Linked DNA regions of Astyanax mexicanus. The protein of the gene in region 2 purifies or fractionates together with the protein of the main gene of each other region. This does not show direct contact. Links are inferred from orthologs where the notes say so. Each region holds a gene or a part of one and is shown on either strand. Other genes may lie near its edges.

Region 1 (8,200 bases), on a different chromosome or scaffold from region 2:
ATACAAAGGACAATAAGTGGCAAACAAGCTTCTGAAAAGTAAGTTATGTTTATTACCTGTGATTACCACGGTTGTGTGCATATTATTAAAAGTTCTGCTTCACAAAACGCCTTGTTTGCCACTTATTGTCCTTTGTACACATAGTGAAGTCCGAGACGTTACTGAAGACGCAGCTTAGCTGGTACAGCATCTTTTAAGGTCCCCCGGGAAAATTCCGTTGTGTTGTGACTCACTTCCGTTGTGTTGTGGTTCTATTTGCAGCGCGTTTTTCTATTTGCAGCGCGTTTTTCTATTTGCAGCGCGTTTTTCTATTTGCAGCGCGTTTTTCTAGTTGCGGCGCCTGTGTTGTAATTTTGATGGATGTGTTTTGTGCTTTTGCGGCGCTTTTCAATTTGCACTGCGTTGGGCTTTCTCGGCCACCGTACCCTCTGTACTGTCATTATTTACTTACTATTAGATTCAGACTGAATCAATTAATCAATCAATCTATATTAAACTTTCCATCTATTTTAATGATTCTCATTTATTTTTGACGCAGGGTTACAAAATGATGCAAGTCACATTTATGCTCATTTCTAAATTATACAATGATGATACTTGACTAGTTGTGCAGGGTTGGCTGAATCTATTTACTGATTCAAATGCTTCTTTTAAACTATTTAAAAGGATTACCAAGTCAACTTTATTCTCAATCCTAGCATATACTAAAACTGTGAGCGACACAAGTGAATCAGTCTGATGTTAATAACCCATTTTTCTTGGTGCAGGGCTGGCTGAATCAATTTATCATTGTAAATCAAATGTGTGATTTATTTCCCAAGCAAACTATCTTTAAATTTTTAGCATACCCAATGATGTTAAACTCAGTATATCAAACTAATGGTCATGGATCGTCATTGTGGGCACATGGCTGGCCCACAATTAATTTAATAAATCAAGTGATTCAAAAGCTTCAAGGATTGTCAATGCAACTTTATTGATATTTGAAGCCTATACTACCACAACTGACTGAGTGAATCAGTCTAATGTTAATAGCATCACTTATCTAGGTGCAGTACAGACTGAATCAATTTATTGAATCAAATTATTTTAGAGAGATTTAAGGTTTCCCCGGGTCAACTTTATTGGCATTTCTAGCCTATGCAACGACAATTGCTTAAGTGAATTAGTCTGAGATTAATGATTCATTTCTTTAGGTGCAGGGCTGGCCAAATCAATTTTGTCAATTTAATGAAAATTTAAATCAAATCATTATTTTTTGTGCCAGAGCTTCTTTAAGCTACGTTAATTACTCTATTAAACTTTATTCTCATGTCTAGTATAAACAATTATAATACTTGGCTCTATGAATCAGTCTGAATTTCATGAGACATTTCTCATTTGATTCATAACTCGTTTCAAATTAGAATCAAACGTTTGATTCAAAGATTCATTTTTTTTAAAACTGCAATCTAATAACATTGACTCAGCATGTGAATCAGATTTGGATCACTTCTGTTCATTAATAGAATCCGACTCATCTTTCAAAGACACACAACGTGGAACACCGCAGCACGAATATTTACCTTGTTGTTTGAAATATGATGTATAAAGAGCATTATTCTGAATTTAGCCAGGTTAATAGCACCCCGCAGTCCCTATAAAGCGGACGCAACGAAACGAATCGGTACACTTTAAAGAATCGACTCCTACACCACAACCCGCATTACATCAGCGGAGTGTCCTTTTCCTAAAGGACAATTCTGCAAAGCAGTTTATCAACCCATAATATTCACCATACAGCTTTACAATAAAACCAGCCCTGCTGGAAAACGCCAAAAGAGGCTCTCACCACACACACGCACGCAAGCACGCGCGCATTTACGCAGTCGTTCACTTCAGTGCAACACTGCAGTGCACTGAACTACCTGCAAATCTGCTGGTTCTCGTGCTTTTTTGGGGTGGGCGTGCAATAAAAGCCTATATATGTAAACAACGGCTCAGCTGCTCGTGCACTAGATGCATTCAAGTTAAAAGGGCATTTCTCTGCATTTGTGCGCATGCATGATATAGGCTCCTACCTCTCTTCTCAGCGCTCTTCACCTGAGGTGGTGATGATGGTGAGGAAGAGGAGGAGGGTGACGATGATGAGGCACGCAGACTTTTGCTGCATTGCCTGCATTGCCTCGACGCCCCACGTGACTCCAGGCTGCGCTCCAAATGGCAGCAATTCTCGCAACCCATGTTGTTATGTTGTAAATGGGAGCTCACTTAAAAGGGTGCACTGATTGTAAATAGCAGATATAGCTCTTTTGCAAAAGTTTGGATGTAGAAAAAAACATTCTTTGGCAGGATGTGGGGGTGTTAGGTTTTCATTTAATTAAGAATGCCTTTGAAAAAAGTCTTAAAACAACAATAATGCATTAAAAAGTGACTTTTCATTAGTTTTATCACTTTTTGCCCGCAGTATTTTCGAATTCTCCCGTTCCACCTTAAATAGCGCTGCAGTTGCGTTATGGCGCCTTGAGCGCCAGAACGCAACTGCAGCGCTATTTAAGGTGGAACGGGATTATTCGAACTTTCAGCTGTAACTCCACCGTTTAACGCGTTTTGCTCCACAGTATGAAGTAACTGAACCTAGTGGGCGGTGTTTTCATGCATGCATCCCTTTCTAATGACCAAACCACCGCTTTTTACGCAACTTAAACCCATGCAAAACTTCTCAATAGTGTAAAAGTGTAGCACTTTTCTCACCTGTTATATCGTCTTCTATCACAATCGAGTCTTTGTCAGCCATCGTGTAACTCCTGTCTGTTTTCAGATCATTAGACATCCAACGCCAAGCGCTTCATCCACTTTCTCCTCCCTCTTTCCCCGTTCAGGACTCAAGTTTGTCCCCTCGACTCTCTTTTTTTCTGACACCTTGGAGAAAGGAAGTCCACTGTGGGCGATTTTCCGTCTGCTTAGCTCCCCCTCCAGCCCCCTGCTCGACCCTCCGGCTGCTTCCACTGACCTAATGACTCGCTGTGCCTCGCAGGGTCTGTGTACAGTGGAGATGAAGGGCTTGGCGAATCGATACTCATTCGATCCGTGAGAAAATGTTTTGATTCTTAGATTAATTCTTAACGATACTAAGTCAAAAAAGGAACTAAACGCTAAAACATATTTATTTTTATTAATAGCTAAAAATGTGTCAGAAAAATCAACTTAATGTCCTCAACCTTCTGCCTTTGAATTAGCATTTTACATTTTATCAGCATACAATAAAAAAAACGGTTGGATGGAGGGATAAAAAAAAGTGTTTTTATTGCATTTGCAGTTATTGCTTTTTTATTTGGCACCAATTCTTCACCATACCTTGGGGTATGTTCATGTTCTATTTGTTTTACTGTTGTGTTTCCAGCTGTTTAACCAGATTGGTAGTGGTGGGTAACTTTCTTTATACTCAGCTTTACTACAGTGATGTAAGTTTATTGTTAACACTCTGTTAACCATAGGATTTTCTACTTTTAGTGAGCTATGGTGTAGTAAATGTTAAACGTACAACGTTGAAACTATGTTGCCATATCAATGTTAATATACATGTTGTCTGAGTAAGAGAGAGTTACTTTAATCCATATCTGAACAATAAAAAAATAATCTTCTGAACTCCACAGTAGCAATGCCGTGTTTCCATTGCTAAAAAAAAAACTCAAAATAAAATCATTAATACGACACCTAGCACCTGGACTTTGGGGCCAAACTTAATTAATTTGTCTTAAAAATAAAATAATTGAATAATAAAATAATGTTTCCAAATTAATCGCATGTGTCACCCTAAAAAGCAAATTTATAAGCAGTACAAGCATATCAAAATCATCTATAGGCTTGACACAGCACCCTTACACACACACACTCACGCACACATCCTGAAAGGAAAGGTGGGGTTCAGAGTTGTGTTGTTTTAACACAATAACTCCAGCTTTGGCGGGTCCACGACCGGAACCCCACAGCTTTAGCTGCTCTTGATTCTAGTGATGAATTTCACCCTGAAATCTCCTGGAATCTGAAATTGTTCCTTTACAACAGAACTGAGCTGAACATTAAAAGCAACTGTACCTAATCAGCAAACTGACCCATTCAGAATAGTGAAGAGTGGTGAAAGTTCTAAAAGCTCCTTAAAGAACCTTATTACACATAATAGTTATGAATACACTGCCAGATACCCAACATACTGTATTAGAGTGTTAGAGTTCTGAGAAGATTTGGGTCTTAAAATGTACAACCCTACATCAGATAAGACTGGAACAGTATGAAAAATAAACTCTTTGACTTTAATTAATTGTTGACCGAATTAATCCAAAATAATTAATGTTTTATCTTTCATTTACAAATCCAATTTAGGTAAAAAGCTAAATTATCATTTTAAACAGGCATGATTTGGTAGCAAAACAGTATCTAGTCTTTAAAGATGCCCAATGAATCTCCAGTTTGTAACAAATGTTTAAAAAACGATTTTCCCCAAAAAAGACTGCATTTTCTCCCCTCTGCGATGCATAACATTATCAAATTACTTAAGGAATCTAAAGGAATTTTAGTGTTTGATCTAAATTCACAAACTCCACCTAAAACTCTACTGTTCAAAACAGAAGCCTCATGTTAATCCTGTCCAGAAGCAGCATCAACTTCTCTGGGCTCGGAGGCTCGGAGCTAAGGCTTCATTAGCAACCCATCCAAAAATCTGATTCTGTCATGGTATGGGGGGGGCGGTAAACTTCTGTGATGCAGCAATAACATATATCTTGGAGCAGGGGTCCGCAATTAAGTTATTTTCCGTGCCATTATGTGCTGAAATGGGATGGAGCGCTATAGACTAGTAGCTCTCCAACTCAGAGGGTTGTTGAACCCAATTGCAGAACAGTTGAATTCCAAGCAGATAAACCCAAGAGAAATGAGGGGGGAAAAAATGTTAAACACACCGCTCCACACACGGGATCGAATCCGACACGTCAGGGTCGCTGTCCAATACCCTGTTGATGCCCCAGCTAGTGAATTGGGACACACCCAAAAGTTGAGTTCAGTTTCAGTAGCCACAATCAGGCCTTTTAACTGCCAAACCTGTAAAATCAAGAAATATTGTAAATAGAACCTACCTGACAACATGAAGCAGAATAAAAGATCTCAAAGCAATACATTATTTAAAGACAGATGAAATTTAAAAACAGATGAGAAAACAAAGTCATTGATCATCAGTCTGGAAAAGGTTACAAAGAAAGAGCTATTTTTTTTTTTACAAATGGAGAAACCTTGGAACACCGGTGAAGTGTGGATGGCCTACCGACATTATTTGTATTGATCACTAATACTTAGGGAAAATATTTGTGGGCTAACGAGACAAAAGTGGAACTATTTGGAAGGTTTGTGTCCCGTTACATCTGGTGTAAAACTAACAAATAATTTCTGAAAAAGAACATCATACTGAACATAAAACATGTTGGTGGTAGTGTATGGGCTGCTTTGCTGCTTCAGGACCACGACAACTGGCTGTAATTGATGGAATCATGAGTTCTGCTCTCTACAAGAAAATCCTGTAGATGAATACACAGCCCAACTGTTTGTGACCTTAAGCTCAGGTGTACTTGGGTTCTGCAGCAGAACAATGATCTGAACCAGCAAGTCTACCTCTGAATGGCCTAGTCAAAGTCTGATTGAGATGCTGTGGATGATTTTAAACAGTTCATGCCAGGAAACGTTCCAATGTGTCTGGATTAAAACTGTTTCATAAAGAAGAGTGGGATAAAATTCCTCCACAGAGATGCGAGACTCATTGCTAGTTATCACCAAGGCTTGATTGCAGTTGTTGCTGCTAAGGTTGGCACAACCAAGTTATTAGATTTAGGGGGCAAACACTTTTTCACACAGGGACATGTAGGTTTGCATAGATTTTTTTCCCTTAACAAATTATCATTTAAAAACACCTTTTTATATATTCACTCAATACATTCTTTTGATATTAAAATGTGTTGACAAAAAAAAGCAAAGAAAAAAAACTGTAAAATACTTTTCCACAGCACTGTAAATACACTAATAACAGCTAACAGAGATAACCCGGTACTGCACCTAGGACCTGGTTCTGCCAGGAGAAAGATAATGGCGGTGATGTTACTAATGGTTGGTCCTGTCCGGTGCAGCCAGGCCACCATAAAGCAGCTGCTTACCCCATCTAGTGGTCACTTCAAACCTCTGACCTGTAAGGCCCTCTAAAGAGCAGATCAGTAGCAACAAAAAAAAAAATGTTTCAACACAGGTCCAATCAGAGTGGAGTGTGCACTTGTAAGCTGAGGTCAGCTTTATTGTTAGTTATTTTGTCACCTTTCTGTGCTAAGGTAATCATTCACATACTATATGTAGAGAAGTATTAAGACACCTACTCAATCAATGATTTGTCTGAAGTCAACGGTATTAAACAAAACAGTGTCATGGATCTGAGGTGTGTAAAAAAAAAAAAAAAGGAAATTCTGAGTACAGACATGCCAGCAGAAACATCTGTTAATTGCTCTTCCTGTTCCTGCAATACATGAATTAGTTTGTTGAATGTTCTTAAAATCTATTTTTCCCCTTAGCAGACAGATGCTCTATTTTAGCTTACTAATATAATAATACCTGCTCTGTAAATTAAAACACTACTCTGGGAAAGCTCAAAAGTTAGCATTTATTTAGTCTTACTTAGAAGCTGAGCACTGTAAGACTTACATGTAGTAGCAAGATGGTCTCTCAAACAGAGGTGACACTGCCCTTGTATAGGGAAGTTTCCCGCCTTTGGAGTGGGCCATACCACTCTTGAACCTAGGGCAGGGGGGTATTATAGTGGTGTCTGGTTTGATTCGGCAATGATATTGTTAGGTAAACCTTTTGTTTATGCTTCAATATATATATATATATATATATATATATATATATATATATATATATATATATATATATATATATATATATATATATATTGTGTGTCAGTGTTTCTATATTATTTAGGATAAAGCCTACAAGTTGACTATAATTGGGAATTGAGTTAATTGGTCTTGTTTAGTTGGACTGGCCCAGAGAAGGGGCCAATGCTTAATAGTAGTCGGCGCCATTGTTGTTTATGCTCATATTTTCGGTTCCCAAGCTGTTCAAGTGAATGGGGAGTTTGAATGGGCTTTTCAAAAACTGGCCTCTCTCACATTCTGTGGTAAATAAATATGTTCAGAACCCTGTACGTTTTATTCTGTGTACATTTACCTCCTTAATATCATTGGATCCTCTGAATTTTGAGATTTAAGGGTAGTTTTTAGAAAAATGCTAACTTTAAGTTAATGCTTAACTCACGTCACACTACAACAGCTGGTCAGATCGCGTTTTGGATTCTTCTTCTTCTTCTTCTTCTTCTTCTTCTTCTTCTTCACAGATGAAGCAATTAAACAGGTGAAAACTCTTTCAGTGATGTTGAGCAGTGTAGTCTGTGTTTGAGCTTTAAAAGGCAGATAATAAGAGAAAATGGCTCTCAGTTCAGCAGCGCTTTCCCGCAGGTTTAGTATTTAATTACAGTCATTAGTTTATACTAATTACAACACCTGACCCAAATAATCACTAATCACACTGAGGCGACCATGAACCGGAAACACCACATTTTTTCACACCATAATAAAGACGGTAAATGTTAAAACATGGTACAGCTGGTTTTGGAGGATCACAGACCTGTTTTAGTAATTTTATGCTGTAACACTCTCAGCTCTCTTTAGTAAGCGCAGTTAGTTCATTAGTTGGCTCAGCTGTGTATAATACGCTGTACAGTTAGGGCCGGAGTTCGCTGGTGTTGCGCCGAAAAGAGTTCCCTGCTGATCTCTGCAGCTGTTCTGGGAGTAACTCTGCTGTAGCATTAGCTTAAAAGTTAGCATTTTTCTCATTACGACTCTTAAACGATCTCGTTATTCAGAGGATCCAGTGACACGGAAGCCGTTCGAGGACTACAGAATGATACACAACCTCAGTGGTCTATAAAGAAGAAGCTCCTAGAGCCAGTTTAGTTTGTGTTTTGCACCCTAGAGGCTGGTAGAAGTAGGGGGCACAGATAGTTAGCTTGTTTCTCTAGCAGGCCTATAAAGACAATTTTTCTTTCTATATATTTTTGTAAGTTTTGTTTATTTGCTTTCTTTTCTTGCTTGCTTCTATGCACTGTAAATATTTGCATCTCTAAAAAAAT
Region 2 (7,479 bases):
GACCCTACAGGACCACCACAGAGCAGGTAATATTTGGGTCATTTTCAGCACTGCAGTGACACTGACATGGTGGCAGTGTGTTAGTTAGTGTGTGTTGTGCCTATATGTGTGGATCAGACACAGCAGTGCTGCTGGAGTTTTTAAACACCTCAGTGTCAGTGCTAACCCTAGAATAGTCCACCAACCAGAAATATCAACACAACAGTGTCCGGTGGACAGCATCTTGTTGGCCGCATCATGTGACCACTGATGAAGGACTAAAGGAGTTTCTGTCTCTGACTTTACATCTATAAGGTGGAACTAGCTAGGTACGAGTGTCTAATAGAGTGAACAGTCAATGAATACAGTGTTTAAAAACTCCAGCAGCACTGCTGTGTCTGATTTGTTCATCCCAGCCCAACACACACTTAAGCCCTTTCCGGATGGGATTAGTTTCTCAAGGGTCCTCTGTGATTTTATTCCCGTCCAGAACGACCATGTATTTGTTTTTTTTTCCAGGTATCCTCTGAGAAAATTAAGTGTGTCCTCTGAGTTGCCTACGGTGAACTTTTTGGTCCTCCGGTAACTTTAGTCCCTTCCAAATTCACATCTCTGAGTTTTTTCTCTGAGATTCACGTAAACACAACAGCGAGTGGAAATGGAGGAGCTACTGAATGTGATGTCACGTGACTGAGAAAGCCTAAAAACTCATTGGTCCTCCTGTTTTTTTAATTGCAGTCTGGATGCAAGAGTTTTATCACTGAGTAGAAGTGTGAAATATTTCTCACAGACGTCCCCCTGAGAAAATAATCCCGTCCGGAAAGGACTTAACACACCTCCAACATGCCAGTGTCACTGCAGTGCTGAGAATGATGGACCACCTAAATAATCAGGTAGAAAGGAGGATATTAAGGTATACAGATAAACAGCTCTACAGTCTGTAGTTATAGAAGAGTTTAGAAATAAGGAAGTGGTCATTATATTTGACTAAACTGTGTATATCTATCTATCTATCTATCTATCTATCTATCTATCTATCTATCTATCTATCTATCTATCTATCTATCTATCTATCTATCTATCTATCTATCTATCTATCTGGGTCAGTGTAAAATATGTTTACTCTGTAGCAGAGCTGCAGAGGTCTGGCCTGTGTGAAGTTAGTTGTTAAAGTGCGGCTCTGTGATTAGTGTGAGGAATCCAGAGTAAATGACAGTGAGGGAGGCCAGAGGCTCAGCGATCGCTGCCACTCTCACCCACAGAGCCGCTGTGCTGGGCGGTCTGCCCCTGCCTGTCTTAATGTGGTATTTCCTCAGCTCCTCCTCAGAGTATCCTGCTCTGCTGCTCCAAGAACAATGTAAACTAAATACCCTTCTGATTGTAAAATCATAGCGAAGCATATCACATGAAGATTTAGACTGTTTCTGTGATCGTCAGTATAGAATTTCAAATATGCAAACACATCCTGTTTAATGATAACACTGGCAGTCAAAACGAATTGCTCAGATGAGCATACTGTCACACACTGACGTTTAGCAGCTGTTTTGAATGTGTTTGGAGGATGTAGTATCCTTCATTCTATGGTGGAGAATCGCAAACAAACTTGATCTGCCAAAATAAGACAATGCATAATGCCACACACTGCACATGAAGTTCTGGAGTGGGCTGATGAGTGAGGAAGTCTAGATGATGTAATGAACATCCAGTCTTCAGTCACCATATGTAAACAGCACTGGGGACTCGTGGGACTGTGTTGAGAAATGTGTGGAGATACCAGGATATTATAGGAGATAATTGTGCACAAACTGTTCTTAGTTAAAAAAATCAGATCTGAGCAATTATGACTTACAATATGTATGATTCTTCCATTTTCAAAGTTCTTATAGCTTAGCCATCTTTGTGGAGAGCAGCAATTCTGTTTCTCCCATCCTCAGAGAGTTCTTTGTCATGAGCTGTCATGCTGAATATCAAGAGCCCAGTATTAAAAAATTGTACCAAAAGCACCAAATTTAACATTCCTGTGCAAGTGCCCTACGCTAATGTGCCCGCTCAAACCTGTGTTGGCAAGTCTGCAATGTTCTGCATTTCAAACCATTAAGGCAGGGATGTGTGTGTAGTTACAATGCTGGGGATGTGTGTGTCAGGCTACTAAAAGACTATGACGTTAGGGTACGCAGTCACACTTAGGGTACATGTAGGCTATAGCATAGGTTTGATGCAGAAGCATAAATTGGCCTTAAGTCACATGACATCAGGGAGGAATACAACACAAGTAAGCACAATTGGTTTACTGTGAGCTTGTGTAGTATTGCCAGCTATTATTAGAGATTAGTGGTTGTGTGTTGAATTATTTTCAAAAAACAGTAAATCTACTGCTATACAAGTTACACACTGACCACTATATTCAAGTTTTATTTCTATAGTGTTGTTTCATGAAAAGTAAAAAGTAATAATAAAATATTTGCTGAAATGTGAGAGGTGTGTACTCACTTTTGTAAGTTACTGCATCTTCTCCCACAGTTCTTGAGATGTTAACAACGTTCAGATTTATCCTCACACTAAAGAATGGGGCCTAAAGTTGGGTGTTACAAGTGCACACATTGAAACATCTGAGCATCCAACTAATACCTTTGAGCAGCCATATGGCAGACACAGCAACCACTTAACAACACCCTAGTATCCACTGAGATACATTGTAGCAACCATTTAGCCACAACATAGCAACTACTAAGCAACGACTTTGCAAAAACAGAGCAACTTCATGGAATACCGTAGAGACCACCCGCAGCCATTTAAACACATCATAGCAGCCTACAACCAATCTACAAAACAGTCTTGAAAAGTGTAGGGGTGTGTTGAAGCAGGTAAACAAGTGAGAAAAAAGTAATCTGGGCTATCGTCCTGCCTTTTCAGGCACTTTGCTAGTTATATTATAATTTGATTACAATAACAGTAGTAATAAATAAAATTGTATTCTAAAAATGTTATATGTTATAAAAATGCCTTATGTGTTCAGTTAAGTAATATGGTGTGATTTTTTTTGTGATTTTGTCTAAAATGTCTAAATTAAGACATTTTATTTTATCTCCTTTTATTTACATTCATTTACATTTTAGACAGCATCCCACTTTTTTTGGAGTCTGAAGTTAACATCCAACACCCGGTTTGGTAAAATTGGTTTTGGTAAATTAGGTAAGCTAACCCCTTACAATATACAGGATATTTTCGAACTCTTAAAACTCTCTCTCTTGCACACATTCCCCTTTTTAACTGGAATTTTTACCATTATAAACTCTGTAATTGCTGAAAAAAAAGGTTTTTAATAATGCACTTAGGTGCAAACAGTATACTATGATATTATTAAATACACATGAAGAAAAATGAAAATGTTACAGTAACTAAAAATAAAATGAATTATAGAACATAAAGCAACTATAAAATAAATAAATAGTACTAGAAGTAAATAAACAAACAAATAAATAAATAAAAACTGAAACGTATGGAATCTAAATGCTTTTAATAATGTGCTCATTTGCATAAAAATAATGTTTACTTCACTATATACAAATAAAGACAAAGTAAGATGATACAATAGCTAAAAATCTAATAAATAGTAGAAAAAAACAAGCAATAAATAAATAATGTAAATGTAAAGTCTCACAATGTTTATACTCTAAATCTTATAGTGTATAATTAACTGTACGTTCTACTGATTGTATATTCTCTCTCTCTCTCTCATTCCAACCCATTCATTTCCCTTCTTTATCTGAAATATTTACTATTATAAACTCTGTAATTGCTGAGATAAATGTTTCTAATAATGCACTTAGGTGCAAAACAGTATACTATGATATTATTAAATACACATGAAGAAAAACGAAAATGTTACAATAACTAAAAATAAAATGAGAACATAAAGCAACTATAAAATAAATAAATAGTACTAGAAGTAATAAATAAATAAATAAATAAATAAATGAATAACGTATGGAATCTAAATGCTTTTAACAATGTGCTCATGTGCATAAAAATAATGTTTAGTACACTTTATACAAATAAAGAAAAAGTAAGATGATACAATAGCTAAAAATCAATTGAATAATAGAAATAGAAAAAAATAGAAAATAACCAAACAATAAATAAATAAATAAATAAACAAACTCATGTTTATACTGTATATCTTATAGTGTATAATTAACTGTAAGTTGTATTGATTGTATATCCTCTCTCTCTCTCTGTGTTGTTGGTGGTGCTGCTGGTGGTGGGTGCAGGTTGCTCTCGGTGCAGCAGGGCGGGTCTGCAGGAGGAGGAGGAGGAGGAGGGGGAGGAGGGTTTCTAAAAGTCCTCTCAGCCATTTCATCTCTCCAGAAGGCGGTCGACCCTGAGCTCGGTGCTGCTGGAATCGTGCTGGACTCTGCTTCTCTCTCTCTCACTCTCTGTTTATCGCTGCCGGTAGTTTTGCCCTGGTTTCGAGTCGCGATGGGAGCGAGCACATCCGCGCAGAGCCCCGGGGAGGAGGTGGAGGACGCCGAGGAGAAGGTACCGCACTGTGCATCCACACACACACACCTGACCCCCTCACACTCACCCCCACATCCAGCTGTGACGCACGCACTCACACGCAGATGCGCACACCACATGCTCCCCCATGGTGAACTCAATCTGTGAGACAACTAGTAAAGAAGTCGAATGTCTGAATGTATGTTTACATGTGCAGAAGTATCATCTACTGCTGACACAGGTGTTCAGCCTACACACCTGTAATATAACCTCTATAGAATAGCACTGACCAGTAGAATGGGACACTCTGCAGCAGGTGCACCTGAGCCTATAGATCAACATGCCCAGGGTGGGCTGGTGAGGTATAGATCCCCCACCCTAGAATTGAGCTGTGGAGCAGTAGAAATGTGTTACTTTTGGAATTATCTGGGATAACTGAAATTATCTAAAATAATTGGAATGACCTGGAATAGTTGGAATAGTCAGAATAATTGGAATGTTCTGGAATAGTTGGAATTATCTGGAATAGTTGGAATGAACTGGAATAGTTGGAATAGTCTGGAATAGTTGGAATTATCTGGAATAGTTGGAATGATCTGGAATAGTTGGAATAGTCTGGAATAGTTGGAATTATCTGGAATAGTTGGAATGAACTGGAATAGTTGGAATAGTCTGGAATAGTTGGAATTATCTGGAATAGTTGGAATGATCTGGAATAGTTGGAATGATCTGGAATAGTTGGAATGATCTGGAATAGTTGAAATAGTCTGAAATAGTTGAAATTATCTGGAATAGTTGGAATAGTCTGGAATTGTTGGAATGATCTGGAATAATAACAATGGTCTGGAATAGTTGGAATGGTCTGAAATAACTGGAATGGTCTGGAATAATTTTAATGATCTGAAATATTTGGAATGGTTTGGAATAATTGGAATGATCTGGAATAGTTGGAATGGCCTGGAATAGTCAGAATAGCATGGAATAGTTGGAATGATTTGAAATAATTAGGATGATCTGGAATAATTGGGATGATCTGGAATAATTGTGATGGTCTGGGCTAATAAACTTGTGGCTGAATGCAATCAAATACTTACAGCAATTTTCTAGCATGTAGTTTTAAGTCATTGATGCACAGTACACATCAAACTGTTTTGAATTCATATGAATAAATATTAATGAACAAGTGTCCACAAACCTTTGGACACATAGTGCATCAGTGACACCGAAATGGATTGAATATGCAGGTGTCCTGGTCAGCCCTGGTTAATCTGCAGTGTGTTCTGGATATCCTGACTCTAGATTACAGCAGTGTGACCCAGTCATGCTCCTGAACTTCAGCCCTGCTTAATGTTTTTTTTTCCTGCTCTCCTGCACACCTGACACGGCTTTCAGCGTATTAATAAGCCCTTCATGAGCTCATAGTGGTGTGTCGGACAAGGAAAATACTTCAGTATGTGAAGCAGGGGGGCTGTTTACGGCTGCTGGATGAGCACTGGCATCATATGTATTGGAGTTGTCTGTGCTGGTGTTGTTTATCCTGCTGTGCTTCGGCTAGTGCTGCCTGACTGCAGTAATAAAGAGAGGAAGCTGTCCCGTAGCAGAGTCTGCATTTAGAGGTCACTGCTGTACTGTAAAGCTGCGCTGCATCTGAGTGTGTTCTGATGTTGCATAAGGAGGGGGCAATATGATGATGTTGTATTGTTACTGGCATAAATTCTGTCAGAGTGTGCTTCCCTGACTTGCTTTGTAAGATAATGTTAGTTGTGCAGTGTGTGCAAATGTATTATGTATTAGAGTGTCCCTTTCAAATGAACAAAACTGGGCATAAATGTGTGACAATGTCATCAAATACCTTAATGTTATTGTCTTTTTGCCCTGCTGCCCACTTTAAAGGTTATGCACTACACTGTAGTGTATATATAATAGAAATTAAGATGCATGAGAACTGTGATTAAAAATCTTAAACATTTATAAATATGAACTTGTTTTCTTTGTATAATGTGAGGTCTGAAAGCTCTGCATCTTTTATCTTATTTCATTAATTTCTTATTTTTTGCAAATAAATGCTCTAAATGACAATATTTTTATTTGCAATTTGGGAGAAATGCTGTCCGTAGTTTATAGATTAAAACAATGTTCATTTAACTCAAACATAGAACTGTAAATAGCAAAATCAGAGAAACTGATTCAGAAACTGAAGTGGTCTCTTAATTCTATTCAGAGTTGTATGTTAATTCATGCCAAAGACAAAACAGTTAACAAATGCCAACATACAAACATTAAAAATTGCAGAAATTGAGGCTATATCCATGTATATTTTGAATACAGAGAACACACTATGCTAAAATGAACTAGAAACGATGTTAGCTTACCTGAATAAAACTCCAAAGGGTTGAGCAGCTCACATTTACATGTAGTTGCTAAGGCTGATGCTAGGTGGACACTAGGATTAAACTGTTTAGCAAGAGGTTGCTCTAAAAGGCTAGCTTAGCATAGTATGTTAGCTAGATAAAATTAGCTCACCATAACTTGTCAGCTAATAAAGGCTAGCTTGTCATAACATGTTAGTTATAAAGATTAACTTGCTGTAATGTAGCTCTTTAAACAGCTAGCTCACCATAACATGTTAGTTAGTTAATAAAATCTAGCTCGCCCTAACATGTTAGTTATACATGTTACCTTGCTGTAATGTAGCTATTAGCTACAAACAGCTAGTTTACCATAACATGTTAGTTGGCTAATAAAGACTAGCTCACCCTAACATGTTACTTATAAAGGATAACTTGCCAAAATGTGACTATTAGCTATAAACAGCTATCTCACCATAACGTTAGTTATAAAAGTTACCTTGCCGTAATGTAACTATTAGCTACAAACAGCTAGCTCACCATAACTTGTTAGTTGGCTAATAAAGGCTAACTTGCCCTAACATGTTAGTTATAAAGGTTAACTTGCCAAAATGTAACTGTTACCTATAAACTGCTAGCTAACCATAACATG

The links.
Region 1: the proteins of akap12b (region 2) and hspa12a purify together in Homo sapiens (affinity purification with mass spectrometry; 3 studies listed by BioGRID and IntAct, with this or other methods). This does not show direct contact. The link is inferred for Astyanax mexicanus from reciprocal best matches to the Homo sapiens genes AKAP12 and HSPA12A.

The regions. Positions count from the first base shown.
Region 1 is NC_064421.1:30,075,786-30,083,985, reverse strand, and holds the start of hspa12a (heat shock 70 kDa protein 12A), read right to left. Parts: upstream 3,010-8,200; 5' UTR 2,813-3,009; coding exon 2,734-2,812; intron 2,122-2,733; exon of another isoform or gene 2,061-2,121; intron 1-2,060. UniProt on the Homo sapiens protein: Adapter protein for SORL1, but not SORT1. Delays SORL1 internalization and affects SORL1 subcellular localization.
Region 2 is NC_064408.1:79,034,779-79,042,257, forward strand, and holds the start of akap12b (A-kinase anchor protein 12b), read left to right. Parts: upstream 1-4,331; 5' UTR 4,332-4,458; coding exon 4,459-4,518; intron 4,519-7,479. UniProt on the Homo sapiens protein: Anchoring protein that mediates the subcellular compartmentation of protein kinase A (PKA) and protein kinase C (PKC).